5 linked regions of the Mus musculus genome follow. The protein of the gene in region 5 interacts with the protein of the main gene of each other region in a pairwise test. Links are inferred from orthologs where the notes say so. Each region holds a gene or a part of one and is shown on either strand. Other genes may lie near its edges. The genes, in order: Nek6, Kansl1, Ehhadh, Ssc5d and Necab2.

Region 1 (3,516 bases), on a different chromosome or scaffold from region 5:
GCACACGTCCCCACGTAAACACTATAATGAGGACCAAATAACATTATGGTGTAAATAACAGGCCGCCCAGCCTGGCACAGAGGCCTGGGGGTGGCCCAAAGCAGAGGTCTTTGGGGAGACCAGAAGAGCCAGCTCGCCAGCTCCTCCTAGAAGGGCCTCAGGAGAGCCTCAAGGGGTTTTACTTCCAGGCCAGTAGCTAGCAGCTATCCCGGCCCTGTGTCTGGAGGTCCCCAGCTCTAGATCCCAGCCTCCGTGCGTGCTCCTGATGCATAGCCGTGGGCCTGTGCATGAGCCTCTCTGGGCATGGTCCCCGTCACAGATTCTCAGCGTCATTCGATGTGATGAACTCAGAAGGCCTAACTAAGCTCCATTTTGTAGCCCTCAGGGCCTTTGTGCTGCTTGCTGAGAGTCCAGCAGCATGATTGAGCGTGGCCTGTACGCAGCAGGGCTTTCCTGCACCTCTGTTTCCTCCCCAGGCTAGGCAGGTGCCCTGGTAGTTAGTTCCTGGCTTCCTACACTGGAATAGCTGCTTGGCACTGGCCACAGTGCTGCCTCTTGCCACTAGAACCACAGCTTGGTGATGAGGTAGCCGAGGTGCTAGCCATTGCCCTACACCTCAGTACAGGCCTGCTGCGCACACCCCTATACACACACACACACACACACACACACACACACACACTGTCTCAGGATTTGTTCCTGCATTATCCTTCCAGAACCTTCTGTTCAATTCTCTTTCAGTGCAGCCTGGAGAGTTGTTTCTTGACTTTTTTCTTTCTTTCTTTTTTTTCCCCCCTGGGGGTTCCAATGTGGTTTACTAGGTGTCCTGGCTAATTTTAAGTCAACTTGACATAGGCTAAAGAAATCTGAGAGGAGGGAATCTCCACTGAGAAAATGCAGCCATTAAATTCTGCCGTGGGTGGGCAAGACTGTAAGGCATTTTCTTAATTAGTGACTGATGGGGGAGGGCCTAGCCCATGATGGGTGGTTCTGTCCCTGGGCTGGTGGTCCTGGGGTCTATAAGAAAGCAGGATGAGCAAGCCAGTAAGCGCCACCCCTCCATGGCTTCTGCATCGGCTCGTGCACACCAGTTCCTGCCCTGACCGCCTTCCATGACAGACTATGATATGGAAGTAGTGGATAAAATAAACACTTTCCTCCTAAACTTGCTGTGGTGTTTCATCACAGCAATGGAAGCCCTGACTAAGACAGTAGGCAAGGAGGTAAATAAATTAGTGCCTGCTGAAACCAAGGGTCTGTTTGACGAAGTTAAGTCCTTCTCCTCAAGGGTTACTGTGCCTTTAGCAGTCACATGACACTGAGATTTAACGACTGAGGACATGGGGACAACAATGACTATCTATCTCTCAGGCCTGGTTCTCCTCCCACGCCAGGCTCGGACTGATGCTGAGAGTCCTTAGTCTCCCCAGGCCCCTGTGAGCAGGTCACTGAGAGGCTCTTCCTTGGGCTTCCCTCTGGCCAGGCTCTGACCTCATGGTCCATTTCATCTGGGGCCCCCTGAGCTCTGCTGGGCTGAAGAGAGGTGCTGACACAACATCCCGGCCCCTCACTGTTTGCTTGGCCTTTGCTGGTGTGATCACCGTGTCACCCTTGCTGGAAATATGCTCACCCAGGCCTGTCTGTCTGTCACCCCACAGTATTTCAAGAAGCAGAAGCGGCTTATCCCTGAGAGGACCGTGTGGAAGTACTTCGTGCAGCTGTGCAGCGCTGTGGAGCACATGCACTCCCGACGTGTGATGCACCGAGGTGTGTGCCCCTCCTTGGCCCGGGACTCCAGCTCTGAGCCTTCGAGCGCCCCAGGAGCTGCCCTGAGAATGAGGCCATTTAGGCCATGCAGGGTATCCAGTAGCTGCACTCACATCTGTCCCATTCGAGGACCCACCTGGGAGGGCGGGGGAGTCTTATCTGATGCCCGATAGTCATCACTTAAGCTTCAGGGAATGGGACCATCACAGCATGCTGACTCCACTCATCCCAGATGTGGCCAAACCTGGTGCTGAGGCCAGTTTTGCCCAGAGAAAGTTTCCCATGGGCTTTGATATCTTGGTAGGCATTGGCTAAGCAAGCTATACCCCCACCCTACCCCAGAAAGTGCTTTGAGGAGGTATTTCAGGTTGTGAGGAAGCCTGTCGAAGGTGTCTTTGAGTTGCTTTCACCTGTGTGAGACCCTGCCCTAGTCACTGCAGTGCAAAGCTTACTGACTGTCAGACAGTGTCTCCCGTGCGGTGACGCTCGTCTGGCACAGGGGAGGCAGCTGTACAAAAGGAGACAGTAGTATAGAAGTCTCTGCTCCCCACTCACAGCCAACCTGTGACATGGGGGAGGGGGATAGTCATGTTACAGATGAAGTAAATGAGCCTCCTCCCATCCCTTCTAAGCCTGCTCTCCCCACACCAACCCTGTGTCCTTGCCCTGCAGACATCAAGCCCGCCAACGTGTTCATCACAGCTACGGGCATTGTGAAGCTTGGTGACCTCGGCCTGGGCCGCTTCTTCAGCTCGGAGACCACTGCGGCCCACTCACTAGGTAAGAGGCCTATGTCCCACCTACCCGCAGCCCCTGTAGGCCTGGGTGACCCAGCCGGAAGGGCATCCATTCTCCTGGAACTATTTGTAGTGTGTGGGAAGATCTTTTTTGAGTCTTAAGAGTTCACCCTTGCTTTGGGATAGATCCAAAGTAGAGGAAACTGAGGCCCAGAGGGGCCACTGCAGGGGGGAAGGGGGATCTCCCCATATCCCCAAGTCATCTCTCTAGTACTTCCTGGAAGGCCAACAGACCCTGTCATATAGAATGGACTGCATCTGCCTGGCTTGTGGTCCTTTTGCTGTGCCCAATTGGCCCTGTGACCTACTCCCCAGGTAGATCTGCTTGTAAGACTGAAGAGGCAGTCTTGGGGGCTGGGGCTGGGTGGTTGGATTGTGGAGGAAGAACATCTGGGAAGGCCCCCGAGAAGGAGCCATGTCCAGTTGTGGGAGCTGTGCATGAGCTTGGGGTGATGCCAATAAGCAGGTGTTGGAGAATGGGTACAGGCCTTGATGTCCCTGTTGGGAGTGTGAAGAGGGGCTTCAGGTTAGGTGGGGCTGTGTGGGCTTCGGAGTGTGTGCCGGAGTGTGTGCCGGAGTGTGTGCCGGAGTGATGAAGATGGAGCTGCTGCTCTTTAATTAGTTTAATGGAGCCAGCATAACCACAGAGACAGCAGGGTTTCACCAGGAATCCATGAGAGGCCGGGGTCTCCCAGCTTCTCCCAACATCTCTCAGGGATCACTAGGGGAGACAGAGGAGACCCGGAGCCAGCCTGTGACCTGTGGCCACCTCCCAGGGAAAAAAAAAAAAAAAAACCTCTGGCTCTACTCATTTCCATGCCACCCCACAGCTCCAGTCTGGGTGTCTCCCATCACCACACAACTGGGTGCCTGTAGCCAGCCATGAGCCATCAGCAGCTTCTGGTGGCAGCATGGGTGCTCTGTGGGGAACTCTCCTCTGGAAACTGTCACC
Region 2 (4,164 bases), on a different chromosome or scaffold from region 5:
TATAGATGCAGATACTGCAGAAACTTGTTGAGTTAGAGACTTTGTGGGCTAATGAAAACTGGTCTATAACAATAGTTTTTTTTTTTTGAGGAGCTGAAGTGACACATAACACCGGATACTGGTTTGGTAAACCACACAAAGTATTGAGCATTTTACATCTTCCTTTTGGTAGACTCTACTCTTCTCATCTGCTGAGCTTGGTGATTTAGTTGTTGGAACAAGTTTTATGCTATTTGATTTTGGTGAGTCCTAATAATCTTTGGACATGGTTAGCTTTAAAGGGTGGTGGATTTGTACTGTGTAATGTGTCACTTTGCGTTATATTAAGTTTTCTAAGTCCAGAAAATGTTCTCTGATATTAAACCTTATTTGGGAGGAAGGAACCGATATCGTGCTGACAAACTAGAGTCAAGAGTAATTAGGTGCCACTACTTTTAAGTCAACGCTGGTAAGAACATGACAGGTTTGCTTTTGTTGTTCATTGTTAAACTTTTAGCGGGTCTGTGAACTTTAATTTGGTAGTAGCAGGAAACAAAAAAATTACTGTGTAATGAATGCGTTTTTGCCTATTTTGGCGGATCTGACAAATCAAGAAGCCTAAAACAACACGCGGGCTTAACGAAAACTACAGTTCCCAGCGGGCCCGGCGCTGGTGGGCCATCATTTCCCCTCTAGCTCCCAGCTGCCCCTGCCCGGGCTAGCCCCGAGTCGGTCCTAGCTCGCGCCTGCGCAATGGCGTCCGCTTATTTTTTGGTTTGGCGGCTGCAGAGCGTGGCGCTAGGGCTAGCAGCCAGCCGTGTGCTGCAGTGTACAGAGCAGGGTGTAGGACAAAGGGCGGGTGGCAGGGACCGCGTCACTGGTCAGGGAGCTTCCTGCCCGTCTCAGAGCACGGTTGGCCCTGGGGTAGTGTGGCCGCAGCAGCTTCTTCATTCACTGCACACACAGTTCTTCGCTCACGTCCTCTAGCTCTGCTGTGTCAGTCCGCCCTCCCCTCAAACCGGCGCGCAGCACCGCCAGCCACAGAGCCGAGGGAATGTGACGGCATCAGCGCCTCAGGTTAGCCTCACCTCGATCGAAGCGAGGGCCCCGCGTCGCTTGCCGCAGTGCCGCGTGTCGCTGCCGCACGTATCAGGCACCAGGCACCGGTTTCCGCAAACAGAGGCGCAGAAGCAGCGGCCGCGGCTAGGAGCCATGACTGAGGCGGCGGCGGCCGCGCCTCCTGGCAGCCCGCGGGGGCGGCGAGGCGGGCGCCCCCTGGCGGCGCGCCGGGGCGGAGCGGCCCGCCGCAGCCGCAGCCGGCGGAGGCGCTGCTGTCCCTCCTCCCCGTGTCCCCGGCACTCGCCCGCTCGCTTGCTCGCTCCATTCTCCCTCCGCTTCAGATTAAAGGGGGGGAGGGAAAAGGAGCTCGGCCGCCATTTTCCCAGTGCCGCCGCCGCCACCGCCACCGCTCGCTGAGCCGGCGGGAGAACCAAGCGCCGTAGCGAAGCCGACTCGTCTCGCCGCGGCGGCTTGGGGGGCGGCCGAAGTGCGCTCCCCGGCCGGGAAGAAGCTCCCGGGGTGGCGGCCGGGGTGCGGGCGCGGGCTGCAGACGGCGGCGCTTGTTTGTGCGGGGCGGGGGGGGCAGCTTTACCCTCTGCCCCCGCCCGCCCGGGGCTGCGGTCCCCGCCGTGCCCAGGCCGGGTCGGAACGGAGGAAGGCCGGAGAAAGGGCCCGAAAGAGAAGAAAAAGCAGCCGCTCCCCGCCGCCGCCGCCTTCCCCTCCCCCTCCGCCTCGCCCCCCCGCCCGGAAAGTCAGGGCGGCTCCGGGCGCCGGGGGGGAGGAGAGCGGCGGGCCGGGCCGGAGCAGCAGCCGCGCGCCCCCGCCCGCTGGTCCTCGGCGCCCAGGCCGGGGGGCTGTTTGCAAACTGCGCCCATTTTGTGGGGCCGAATCCGCCCGGGCTACGCTCCTCCATCACGTGGTAGGTGCTGCTGCTGCTCCTTTCCTCCTCCTCCCGCTGCCCTTTCTCCTTCTCCTCGCTCTCCCTGTGGTTCCCATTTCTCCCTCTCTTTGTTAGTTGTAACTAGAAAGGCTGGGCAGGGGAAGAAAAATCCCCGGAACTTTAAATGGCCTCTCCGGGCTTCCCCGCTGCGGGTCCGGGCTGGGAGTCGCCCCAAGGGCGGGGGTGTGCGGGGGCCCTTCCCCACCAGCTGCCGCCTCGTTCGCTGGGCTTTCCTTTGGCGTTCTATTTAAAAAGGCGGCCTGGAGAACCTGGTTTATTTCCGAAAAAAAAAAAAAAAAAAAGCAAAAACAAAAAGACCAAAAACAAACTCTTGCTCTCGCCTTGAACTTCTCTTGACTGCAAAAGGTCTTTCTTTGCTCAAACACATCTTGCATGTCTGTCTCACGGTTTGTATCACAACTCTGATTGTTAACATTTTTTGTTGCTTAAATATTGAGGTCATTTGCGTTTTCGGATCTAGTCTCAGGCAGCCCTTTTTTTCAACTAAAGAGGAAGAGGCATTTATTTGCTTTTAAGTGAGTTGGAATCTTACTGCTTTTGGGGGGGCCTGTTTTCGGACTGACGGCCTTTGATTCTCAGCAAATAGTTTATAATTGTTTTCCGTATTGTAAACAATCTTACTCCCATGTTTTACCTAGAAATCCTTTTGTTTTCCAATGTTGGAATCCCAATGTGGATTTTTAGAGAAACTCGTTACTTAACTATTGCTTATTGATTGCCTTAGGGGAAAAGGGGTGACATGATGGCGCCACTTTAAATTGCTCTTTCCTCCGCCTGTTTTTTCCTCCTTTATCCTGGAGGTCACTGGAGCATTTTCCGTGACCTATTAATAAAACCGCACTTGAGGGTGTTAGCTGTACAACTCTTAGGGGTTAGAATTTGGTACCTTAAAGATTGAGAAACCCGAATCCTGCAGTCCCCAAAGTTAAGAGAAATCTCGCTAGTCCTCCAACCTAGCTTTCCTCCCCTCCATTCACAATCCTGGTGTTGCCATATCCTTCGTCACGTGGCTAGCAATCATTGTGGGGTTTTGTTTGTTTGTTTGGGGGGGTGTATGTTAATATTTTAAGCTGTAGCCAAGTAAGTGTCCCTCTGCCCATTAGAGAGATCACAATGCTCTAGGGTTTTTTTTTTTTAATACATTCGGAGAACATTTTAAAATAAACGATAAAATTACATAATCCTTGCCTTGCATAATCATGATATAGTTACAGAACTTCTTCTCAAAAGTACTTTCAATCAAGTAGGAAAATCGTTATATTAAAATGATTTCTGTTTCTTAGACTGGTCTGCAGTTTATATTTCCCACCCCACCTCCCTTTTTTGTTTTTGTTTTTAAGGTCATTTGAAGTACCAGTATTTACAAAAGCATAAAGTGGGCGTGTTTCCCTTTCCTCTCTTCTATGGGCTGTACTTGGTTTCTTGTCTTATTCTCCTACCAATTTAGAAATTTTCAATTAACTGCAGCTGTTGTCAGTTGAGACTTTTTTTTTTTTTTCTTCTGACAGTGGATACTTTTGATGTGTTTCTTTGTTGCATTTTTGATAGAGAAGTTTTTAATTCTAGTTTTCCAATCTTCTTACTTGGTTGTTATAACTTCTTGTAAATATTAACTATAAAATGCTAAAGTACATTTTTTTCTTTTTCTAGGTAAGTTACTAGCTTCAAAAAGTAAATATAAAATGTAATTCTTGAGTATGATTGATCTGTTTTCTCCTGATGTATGTTATCAATGGCTTGGGCCATTTTCTTTGCTAACAGTTACATCATGTCATGTGATAGGTGCAGTGTGATGTGTTGCTCTAAAAATATTGCGAGGTAAAAATGCTCATCCTTTGGAAATTTAAACAATGTATTGTAACTATTTGGTAACGACCCTTAGTCATGGAATCCTGAATTAGATTTCCACTAGGTTTAGCCAACCAAGTGTACAGTTCTTTTGACCTTTAGAATATTTGATTTGATTTGTTAGTGACCTCAGAACTTGAGGTGGTTTGACATTATTTTTGAAGTGTGATCTACTTGGAACCATTAACAATCACATAGATTCTTAAAATCTTTATTCTGATGAAGGTAGTTATTTAATTAAGTGTATGTGATGATTTGTTTCTGTACACAAAAGTCATCAGTTCTATGCAGATTTTGAGATAAATTGGAGGTTTGGT
Region 3 (3,516 bases), on a different chromosome or scaffold from region 5:
AGCTCAGGGAATCCCATGGAAGTCTAGGAGGAAAGATTGTAGGAGCCAGAGGGGTCAAGGACACTACCAGAAAACTCACATAATCAGCTAACCAGGGTTCACAGATATTGAGCTGACAATCAGGAAGCCTGCAAGGGAATGATCTGCATATATGTGACTGTTGTATACCTTGGTCTTCTTGTGGGATTCCTAATAGTGGGAGCAGGGCTGTCTCTGACTCTTTTGCCTGATTTTGGGACCCTTTTCCTTCCTCTGGTTTGCCTCAAATCTTAATACAGGGAAGGTGCCTAGTCTTTACTGCAACTTGATATGCCGTGTTTGGCAACTTGATATCTCTGGGAGGCCTGCCCTTTCCCAAGGGAAACAGAGAAGGAGTGGATGAGGGAGGGTCTGTGGGGGAGGGAATTGGAGGAGAGGAGAGAGAGGAAACTGTGGTTTGGATGTAAATAATAATAATAATAAAAATATTTATTTCTCTGTGTGCATTATATCACAGACATCAGTATAAGGAGTTGGGTGTCCTTGTCTATCCTTTCTCCCTATTTCTTTTGAAGCAGAGACTTCTCTCTTAAGAGGCCGAGAGCTTGTGTCTTTTCACCTAGTCTGGAAGCCAGCAAGCACAGTGATACCCTTGTCTATATCCACCCCGCTCCTGGAAACAGGTGTTACAGGTGTTTGTGGGGAGGGGCTGCTCAAGTTGTCACATGGATGCTAGGATCAAAACTTTGATATTCATTATTTCAAATCAGTTACTCTTTTTCTTTCTTTCCTTCTTTCTTTTCTTTTTGGTTGTTTTGTTTTGTTTTGTTTTGTTTTTTCAAGACAGGGTTTCTCTGTGTAGCCCTGGCTGTCCTGGAGCTCACTCTGTAGACCAGGCTGGCCTCAAATTCAGAGATCCATCTGCCTCTGCCACCCAAGTACTAGGCATGTACCACCACTGCCTGGCTAAAGCAGTTACTCTTAACTGCTGAGCCATCTCTCCAGCCCCCAATATATCTTCACATATTAGCAATGAACTGTATGAAAATAAGAAAGCAATTTTACCTACAATAACATAAAAAATAACTATACTTATGGAATACATTTAACAAAGGAGGACTTGTGTACTAAAACCAATGAAACATCATTGGAAAAAAATTAAAGAATATCCAAGGTATTTATTGTTCAGTGTTAAAGTGCTTGCGTGCACAAGGCTGATACCTGACATTGAAAACAAGAAAAGAAAAGAAGAAAGAAAGAAAGAAAGAAAGAAAGAAAGAAAGAGGGAAAGAAATAAAAAGAATCAAAATCACCTAGATATTGGCAGAAAGACAGCCAATGTTCATGGACCAGAAAAAAATTTAGTATTGTTAGGATGAAATATCAAAATAATCTGTAGAGCCAATGCAAGCACTATACCAGCCCAACTTTTTGCATAATTAACACTAGATTCTACAATTCATATAGAAACACAAGAAACCTAGAAGAGTCAAAACAGTATTTTTAAAAATTGGAGATGGGGTTGGAGAGATGGCTCAGCAATTAAGAGCACTGGCTGCTCTTACAGAGGTCCTGAGTTCAATTCCCAGCCACCACATGGTGACTCACAGTTATCTCAGTAATGGGATCTGATGCCCTCTTCTGGTGTGTCTGAAGACAGCAACAATGTACTCACATATATAAAATAAACAAATCTTTCAAAAAAAGTTGGGAAAGTCACTCTTCCCAGTTTCAATAATTAAGACAAAAATATAGTATTCAAGGCAGTGAACAGAGAGTACATGCTGAGAGCCGGAAACAAACTCCACTCGTATGGCCTATGTATGGACAGGACTGCCACAGTTGGAAGGTCCCTAGAGCTGACCCGCAGGATGGAAAGAGTTTATAGGCTCCTACAAGAATTAACAAGCGTTAACATGAGTGCCATGTTCAACAAAATAATAGCTTCCCCAAGCAAGTGACATTTGAAGTGTGCTGTGCTTTTCATACAACAGTGCCATTGCACATATGAACCGACAACAGCTCTGGCTGCACACACAAGACCTGCACAACATCTAGCCAGACACAATCTCAGCATAAAGGGGAGGAGGGCAGGACATCCACCTGCAAGCTTTGGGCTATTGGTCAGTGAATGACTGTTGGCATGAGAAGTCAGCTTTCCCTCCTCCCTGGAGGCTTCCCACGTGCCTGTAGATGGCCTTACACCATGCACATGCTAGCAGCACTAAGTGACTTCCATGATTTTGAAAAAGAGAGAGAACACATGAAATAGGAAAAAAAAAAAAATAATGGCGGGGAGGCTAAGGGAGGAACTGAGGGAAAGGGAAAGCGGGGAGCTTGATCCAGACACAATGGACACATGTATGAACTTTTCAATTGATTAAAAGAAACCTGCAGGTTTGGAAATATGCTTACCAAGAACACCAACCGAGGAGACGGGTTGAGCAGATGCTGTTTTCCAAGATGCTCCTGAGGGAGTTGACCACTTATTTGCAGACTTTTCAGCAAAAAAGGCGTACTGCAGGGCTCTAGCCTGCCCCGACCCCCGAAGGTACATAAACAGCTTTGCTTCTTCCTTGATGGCCACTTCATATGGATGCTTCACGGAGGCCTGGACTGAACGGACACAAGTCTCCGGAGCCAGGCGGCCAGGGTACTGCTTCCGTACCTTGGCAATGGCTTCTGCAAAAACACTGTCCATGTTGGGCAAGCTTGGGACTGGCTTGTTTAGGATCCTGCGGGGTTCTATGGGTTTACCTGAAAGGAATTGCTAAAGGTCAGAGTATCGTAAGCATAATAGAAAGAGAACAGAACTGCCCAAAAACAAAACGACAGTGCGGTGCGTGGTTCCCACAACCCAGTCAGACGCTACGCACTACAATATCTAATGAAACACGATATCCAAAGTCTGTAATCTTAGTAACTTCAGACCGTAAAGTAGAAGATCGAAAGTATTATGCTACTAATTCAGACATGAAAGGTGCAGTCTCTTTTTATTCTGAGGCCAAGACAACTTTATAATATATTAAATATTAATCTGTACAAAGAGTACAGTTCTTACTTAATATCATCTATTCAAAATTATTCACATTCTTTCCCTAATAATGACAAAATCTTTAAAATACCATAACAGAGGGAAATGTTATATGGGGCAATGATTGGCAATAAAAAAGAATTGTAAGTTCATTGATAAGGACTTACAGTATAGTAAATTGATTTTTAATACAGGAGAAAAGATAGTCCACATGGCAAAAAGAGTCTTTTTTTTTTCCCCCTTCCCTCCAAAAGGTGGTGGGATAGCTGACTACAAAGGTGGGATAACTGACACACAGGTAGGAGAACCAGACACACAGGTGGGAGAACTGAATACACAGGTGGGAGAACTGATACACAGGTGGGAGAACTGGATACACAGGTGGGAGAACTGATACACAGGTGGGAGAACTGATACACAGGTGGGAGAACTGGATACACAGGTGGGAGAACTGATACACAGGTGGGAGAACTGATACACAGGTACTAAATAAGTAAATGAAC
Region 4 (3,516 bases), on a different chromosome or scaffold from region 5:
CTTCAGACACTCCAGAAGAGGGCGTCAGATCTTGTTACAGATGGTTGTGAGCCACCATGTGGTTGCTGGGATTTGAACTTCAGACCTTCGGAAGAGCAGTCGGGTGCTCTTACCCACTGAGCCATCTCACCAGCCCTATTTAGTTTTTAAGTGTGCAGGTATTTTGCCTGCAAGTGGATCTGTGCGCCATGTGCTTGTCTGGAGTCCTTGGAGGCCAGGAGAGGCCACCAGACTCTCTGAGATTAGAGTTACAGACAGTTGTGAGCCACTATGTTTGTGCTAAGAATCAAACCCAGGTCCTATGGAAGAGCAGCAAGTACTCTTAGCCACAGACCCATCTCTTCAGTCCAACAGACTTCTATTTTCTTAAGTGAAACGAGGGCGGAGGGTATGGGTTAGCAGGACAGGACGAGACCTTCCCCATGATCTTATCTCTCCTCCCTCCCGGTCTCCTAGGGACCCCCGGCCTGGATACCATCTCAGACCCTTTCAGTTGGAGCTGGCTCCCTGGGCTGGGTAGAGATCAGGATGCCTGGCTCCCAGGAGAGCTAACCACCAAACCTTCTGCCAGTCTCACCTCCAGTGTGCCACAGAAACCCACAAAGGTTCCAGGGAAAGCTCCCAAGAGTACCAAGAAGTGGGTGACTAAAAATGCAAGGAGACCAACCACTCAGCCCCCTGGGATGCCAACCACCAAACATTCCAGGGCCCCAGGCACCCCAACCTCCCTACATCCAACAGCACGTACCTCTGAGTTACCAAAGAGACTGACCACTGAGGCTCCCCACAGGCAGACCTCACATACCACTGTAAGGCTGACCCCTAGGGTCCCCTGGGAGTGGACCTCAGAGCCTGTGGTGTCACAGTCCACTCAAGGTCCCCAAGAAGTGACCTCTGAGGCCACCACAACGGAAAACCCTCAGACCTCTTTGGAGCCATCGGGTGAGAACACCGAAGGCTCTCTGGAATCATCCCAAGATCCAGCTACCACCCCAACTGCTGGAGTCCCTGTGCCATCAGGTGAGTAGTAGAGAGTTAAAAGGGTGGGGACAGGGAGGTGGCCCTGTACCTCCTAACCTGAGAGCCTCCCACCTCCCCCAGGTCCCTTCCGGGTTCGTCTGGCTGATGGGCCCAACAGGTGTGCTGGCCGGCTAGAGGTGTGGCATGCTGGACTCTGGGGAACAGTCTGTGATGACAGCTGGGACATCCGGGATGCCACAGTGGCCTGCTGGGAGCTGGGTTGCGGAAAGGTCCGGCCCCGAGTAGGCAAAACTCACTATGGCCCTGGCACTGGGCCCATCTGGTTGGATGACATGGGCTGTAAAGGAAGTGAGATGTCACTGAGTGACTGCCCCTCGGGGGCATGGGGGAAGCACAACTGTGACCACGAAGAAGACGTGGTGCTCACCTGCACTGGTACCAGGGAACAGTGAGGGAGGCCGAGGTGGTGGAGTTAGAGTGGGACAGAATGGTGTCTCGTGGGCTAGAGGGGACTCAGCGTTGGTGTCTAAAGGTCTAAGGAGCGGGCTGGAGGGGGCTCAGCATGAGAGCAGGAAAGGGTTACTTCAGGAGACTCTGGCAGGGAAGGGAAGCCCGGGGGCGGGGGGGGGGGACCTCAGCTAGCAGGAAGAGGCACAAGCTACCTGTCTCTCCCCCAGGCTACACGGGTGATGACGATTATCCTTCCTGGACCTGGGACCCTACTTCCGGAGAGGACCTGACCAAAGGGACCACAGTGGCTGCGCGGCCTGGACATACACTTTCCTGGGCTACCACTACAAACACTGAAGTCCCCTCTCCAGCAACACAGAACCTTCCAGACACGGGTGAGGGGCTCAACCTGGGTGCATATGCCAAGGCATGTGTGATGAGGTCAGAGTCAAAATGGTGGAGCTCTATCCACAAGCTCCTTTACCTACCGGGCGATGGCATCCGCCCACTTTTGTTTTGTTTGTTTTGTTTTTGAGGTGCTATATCTTGTATCCCAGACTGGCCTTGAACTTGCTATGTGGCTGAGGTTTGCCTTGAACTTCCTGTCTCCCCCTCCCAAGTATTGGCAGTGCAAACATATGTGCTACTGTGGTCAGCCATAAAGATCTCTCTAACAGCTAGCCTAGGCCTCCATGTCCTGGCAGGCTTGCCTAAATGTGTTCCACTCTTGGGCTTGACAGTATTCACCTTCTCCAGAGTGCAATGGGACAGCATGTGGCTCAGAGCGATCAGAGGGCATCAGCTAGTACTGAGCCTACCAAATCGACCATGCCCCTCAATCCAGAGCATGTGCAGGAATGACCCAGAGCCCTCAGCTCAGGGTTGTCCTGTGAGCACATGGTTCCACCGTCAGCAGACTCATACCCAGTCTGGCAGTCCATGTGTTGTCCTGGTCAGGCTCTAGGTCAGACACAGACAGGACCCTCCTGGAGCACAGGTTCTAACTCCTGCCCTTCCCAGCCCCACCCATGAAAGTCAGTGCCTTACATGACATCTGTCAGTCCTTCTGCTTCTCCATGGCTTCTGTTTTGCTATGGTCTGTGTCCTTCCACCCCTGATGCTAACCCAGGGATCTCCATCCACCCTGGCCCCTACATCTTAGAACTCCATTTTGCTTTTCTCCTGGTGTCTTTCTCCCATTGGATTCGTTCCCACTCTCTTTTCCTCTTTAGTACTCTGTTTTTCCCAGTGCAGTATCTCTTGGTTTTTTTCATCAGTTTTTCTTTAAAGTTCTATACTCCTTCCACACCTTTTACATTGTTTAAAGTTATTATTTTATGGGTATGGTTGTAGGCATATCTATGCCATGTGCATACAGTTCCCACACAGGCCAGAAGAGGGCACCAGAGTCCTGGCCAGAAGAGGGCACTAGTGCTCCTGAAACTGGAGTTATAGACAGGCGTGAGCAGCCACATGGGTGCAGGGAATTGAACCTGGCTTCTCTGGGAGAACAGCCTGAACTCTCTGTCCAGCCCCTGTATCTTCCTTTCAAGTCACCATCTCACCCCATTTCTCAGTAGTTTGCTTTTTCTTTTTTCTTTCGTTGTCCCAGCTGGCCTAGAACTCCTGTTCTCCCCCTGCCTCCACCTCCCCAGCCCTCGGGTCACTGGGCATGTACCACCTTGCCCGTCACTCACTGTATTTCACGTGACTTCCTCTCTTCTTTCCTTCCTGGGTTCCCCCTCCACTGTCTTTTTCAGACCCTCTGCTTTTATCTCCTCCCTTCTGTAGCGTTCCCCCTTTCCTTCCTTTTTCTTTGTTAGATTGATTGATTGTATATGTGTGTGCATGCACACCTGTGCTCAGGGCCATATGCCACAGTATGTGCTCGCACACGCACTCATATGTAAGTGTGTATATGCATGAGTATACGAGCTCATATGTGTGTGTGCACACTTGCATGCGTGGATTCGTGCTTGTGTGTGTGTCTATGTACAACCTGCAGGAGTCAGTCTTCTCCTTTTACCATGTTGGTTCCAGGTATACAACTAGAATTTTCAGCTAGGTGCCGATCCATCTCATCTG
Region 5 (3,516 bases):
AACAAAAACAAAAAACAGAGGCTGTCCTGGAGGACGGAGTAGGAGACTTACTTTAGGGGAGGTCACAATTCTGAAAACATTCTGGATTCTTGCCTCCAATATTCCCCGAAGTAGAAACTGCGAATGTTCATCAGCCCCTTGAGTTGCTAAGCCTTTCTTACCCAGACAACTCACTCATCAGAAGCAACATTCCGGGCTGTCTGAGGAATTCCAAGGCAGTCACTGCCACCGGCCTTGGAGTCTACAGAAAACTTTTACCCAGACATATGCTGTTGAACATAGGATCTACCAAAGCTAGCCCTGGGCCAGAGGAGAGGCTAAGCCCAGAAAGGAGCCATCAGACCCCACCCAGACCCTGCCTGGTCCCTCTGCTGCAGCATCTGGTGTTGATGCCTTTATACACCTCCCCCAACCCCCAGCAAGGACCAACCCCTTCTCTGCTTTGGTCTAAGGAGTGAAGTTCAGGGCTATGATGGAGGCTGACCCAGGGCTCCAAGAGTCCCAGGAGGGGAAGGGTTATTGTTTTGACAAGCTGCGATAGTCACAGCCCACCCTGCGGCCCTTTCCCCTCTCCTAGGCTCAGCCCCTGACTAGTTCCATCCACTCATAATATGGCCCACGAACTCAGAGAGAGAGAGAGAAACACACCACCAGATATGGTGGCATAAGTCTGTGACCACAACACTCAAGACACTGAGGCAGGAGGATCATGAGAGTTCTAGGTCAGCCTGGATTACATAATATAACTTTGTCTCCAAATAAGGAAAAAAAAGCAGAACAGGAGGCAGGCAGGTGGCTTACCCTGCATCTTCTTCTACCTTCTAGAAAGTGGGGCTCACGTCAGTGTCTAGGATGGGGGGAAGGCAGCAAGCACTTTAAGGACTGCACAGAGGGTCAGAAACAAGCAATTTAAGGACTGCTAACTCCCTCTCCCTCTTTCTTTCTCTCTCTCTCCTTTATTCCCTCCCTCCTTCTCTCCCTTTATAGCCACGTGGACACCAAGGAACTGTGTGGTAGGTACCTGAATCAACGGCAATCAGAGGAGGGCAGAGCAGTATGGGCCTAGGTTGGGGCCTGGTGGGAGGGCCCTAGGGAGAGGGGTGGAGTCCTCTGTGACCCCTGACCTTTGCAATCTCCTGCCCCAGACTACTTTGTGGAGCACATGGGAGACTATGAAGATGTCCTGGCCTCCCTGGAGACTTTGAACCACTCAGTCCTGAAGGCCATGGGCTACACTAAGAAGGTCAGTGGTTGTGGGTAGTGCCTTCGGGAAACTAAGATCTGAGTGCTAGTTTATTCTAGATCTTTCAGATCATTGCTGTCCAAGGGTGTCTGGATTTGTGGCGGCAAATGTTTGACCGAGGACTCACTGAAGAGCGGAGATAAGCCACGTACTTAGAGGAGCACCTTGGTGGCGAGCCCTGTCCTGTAGGCTGTGCATCAGAGTGTGAGGGCCTTTCCCAGGGTCAAGGGTGGTCCTGGAGTGGAAGTCTTGTGAAGCAGGAGTCCCCAAGGGGTTGGCTGCTTAAGGTACAGTGTAGACCTAGGGATCTGAAAGCAGGGACTGCAGGTTTATCTATCTGAACTTGACTCAGGAGTGCAAAGATGTCTCCTAAGCAGCTGACCCATATGCAGTAGAATACTTAGCTGGTCTGGTCAGGGACCAGGTTGAAGGACTGTAGTCTTACTTTCATTGTCTGTGAAGCCAGAGCATCCATATTCCAGGCCTTGAAGGAACTGAAGGAAGTGGGTCCTCTGAGCTGCTGAGTGCAGGACTGCATAGGTCAATACCAGCTCCCTCGGCTTCTCACACGTGGCCTGTGCCATGCCCTGCCACAGCTGGCCGGAGGGCTCCTTCTTGCCATGTACACAAACATTGCTGAGTCTGAACCCCCCCTACACACACAAAGACACACACAGACAAAAACACACACACAGACACATACACACACACAGAGATACATAGACACACAAACACACACAGGCACATTCACACACAGACACACACACACAGATACACACACAAACACACAGATACCCACACAGACACACAGAGACACATACACACACACAGAGATACATACACACACAGACACACAGATACACACACAAACACAGACACATACAGACACAGACACACACAGAGACACATACACACAGACACAGACACACATGCATAGACACATACACACACACACACACACACTGACATTCTGGCATTGTGCTTGCTGTTTGCAATTATTTTAAGACCCTACAAGAGCTCCTCTTGAAGACTGTCATCGTGGCAATTTTGCTGACAGCCCCAGTGTCCGTGGTGGCTTAAACATTAGCAGGGTGTTCCAGGGAAGGGTGTCAGCCTGCTCAGTTGTGGCTGGCTGCGACATGGAGGGGAGGGGAAGATGGATTTTGTAGCAAGAGCTCCTTGGCCTCTCCCTCCCACCTAGGAGTTGCTCTGTTGCTGTAAGGCTTGTAAAGAGGCACTGGGCCCTCATTACAGTGTTCCACCTACTCTTTGATCATGGCTCTCAGGATCAGAACCTCACCCTCCATGAGGGAGAGGAGCTGAACTCCCAGGAGGATCTGCGCAGCCTTAGCTGTGGTGCCACTAGGACCTTGCACATGTGGCCTTGGGTGGCCTCAGGTGACCTCAGGTGGTCACCGTGGTCCTGGGTGACTCGGGAATACCCTTGCAGGGCCTGACAACTGTCACTGAGTATTTTTCTCCTTCTCAGGTTTCTCCTAGCTGGCCTGTTTGTAGAAAGGCAGCCTGATGCTAATCTTTGATGCTTTCTTTGTACGCTGACAAGTTTTTATGTCGACTTGACATAAGCGAGGGTCATCCGAGTTGATCTCAGTTGAGAAGATTTCCCCCAACAGATTGGCCTGTGGTGCTTTCTTGATTGATGGTGGATAGGAGAAAGCCCAGCTCACTTTGTGGGGTGCGATCCCTGGGCTGGTAGCCTTAGATGCTGTAAGAAAACTGGCTTGGGGTGCAAGCCAGTAAGTGGCATTTCTCCATGGCCGCTGTGTCAGCTCCTGCCTTGGATTTCTGCCCTGTCTTCTGTCAGTGGCCAGTAATGTGGGAGTGTAAGCTGAAAGAAACCCTTTCTTCCCCAAGTTGCTTTTGGTCACAGGGTTTCTGCATAGCCAGAGACACCCTAACTAAGGCACCTTCCGGTCTCTGCTGGTTACTGAATTCTGTTACCTTGATTTCTGTTGTAGTAGCCTCGGTCATGGTTAGCTGGGTTAGCCTCCTGTGTGGGGGCTAGCCTTGGCTCCTCCGATGCCTGTGGTGCATGTGGCATATTCCCCAGAAACTAACGCACTACAATGACGCCAGGCCCCGGCCTTTCAAGTACATCTCTCCAGCATCTTTCCACTAATTGCAATATTAATGCCAGCTCTTATTTTAGAACCCTCTTCAGTTCAGCCTGTACAAGGGGGGGGGGGGAATGTTGTTTTCTTCCTCTTTGTTCTGTCTTGGGTGATGGTGAGGAATCTGCTCAGATGCCTGTG

Evidence for each region.
Region 1: the proteins of Necab2 (region 5) and Nek6 interact in binary tests that used the Homo sapiens proteins (3 or more experiments, as listed by UniProt). The link is inferred for Mus musculus from reciprocal best matches to the Homo sapiens genes NECAB2 and NEK6.
Region 2: the proteins of Necab2 (region 5) and Kansl1 interact in binary tests that used the Homo sapiens proteins (3 or more experiments, as listed by UniProt). The two-hybrid records come from large-scale screens. The link is inferred for Mus musculus from reciprocal best matches to the Homo sapiens genes NECAB2 and KANSL1.
Region 3: the proteins of Necab2 (region 5) and Ehhadh interact in binary tests that used the Homo sapiens proteins (3 or more experiments, as listed by UniProt). The two-hybrid records come from large-scale screens. The link is inferred for Mus musculus from reciprocal best matches to the Homo sapiens genes NECAB2 and EHHADH.
Region 4: the proteins of Necab2 (region 5) and Ssc5d interact in binary tests that used the Homo sapiens proteins (3 or more experiments, as listed by UniProt). The two-hybrid records come from large-scale screens. The link is inferred for Mus musculus from reciprocal best matches to the Homo sapiens genes NECAB2 and SSC5D.

Annotation. Positions count from the first base shown.
Region 1 is NC_000068.7:38,567,189-38,570,704, forward strand, and holds part of Nek6 (serine/threonine-protein kinase Nek6), read left to right. Parts: intron 1-1,658; coding exon 1,659-1,767; intron 1,768-2,439; coding exon 2,440-2,547; intron 2,548-3,516. UniProt on the Homo sapiens protein: Protein kinase which plays an important role in mitotic cell cycle progression. Required for chromosome segregation at metaphase-anaphase transition, robust mitotic spindle formation and cytokinesis.
Region 2 is NC_000077.6:104,439,518-104,443,681, reverse strand, and holds the start of Kansl1 (KAT8 regulatory NSL complex subunit 1), read left to right. Parts: upstream 1-1,361; 5' UTR 1,362-1,957; intron 1,958-4,164. UniProt on the Homo sapiens protein: Non-catalytic component of the NSL histone acetyltransferase complex, a multiprotein complex that mediates histone H4 acetylation at 'Lys-5'- and 'Lys-8' (H4K5ac and H4K8ac) at transcription start sites and promotes transcription initiation.
Region 3 is NC_000082.6:21,763,832-21,767,347, forward strand, and holds part of Ehhadh (peroxisomal bifunctional enzyme), read right to left. Parts: intron 2,737-3,516; coding exon 2,395-2,736; intron 1-2,394. UniProt on the Homo sapiens protein: Peroxisomal trifunctional enzyme possessing 2-enoyl-CoA hydratase, 3-hydroxyacyl-CoA dehydrogenase, and delta 3, delta 2-enoyl-CoA isomerase activities. Catalyzes two of the four reactions of the long chain fatty acids peroxisomal beta-oxidation pathway.
Region 4 is NC_000073.6:4,935,807-4,939,322, forward strand, and holds part of Ssc5d (soluble scavenger receptor cysteine-rich domain-containing protein SSC5D precursor), read left to right. Parts: intron 1-456; coding exon 457-1,020; intron 1,021-1,101; coding exon 1,102-1,416; intron 1,417-1,658; coding exon 1,659-1,826; intron 1,827-3,516.
Region 5 is NC_000074.6:119,453,214-119,456,729, forward strand, and holds part of Necab2 (N-terminal EF-hand calcium-binding protein 2), read left to right. Parts: intron 1-987; coding exon 988-1,013; intron 1,014-1,145; coding exon 1,146-1,243; intron 1,244-3,516. UniProt on the Homo sapiens protein: May act as a signaling scaffold protein that senses intracellular calcium.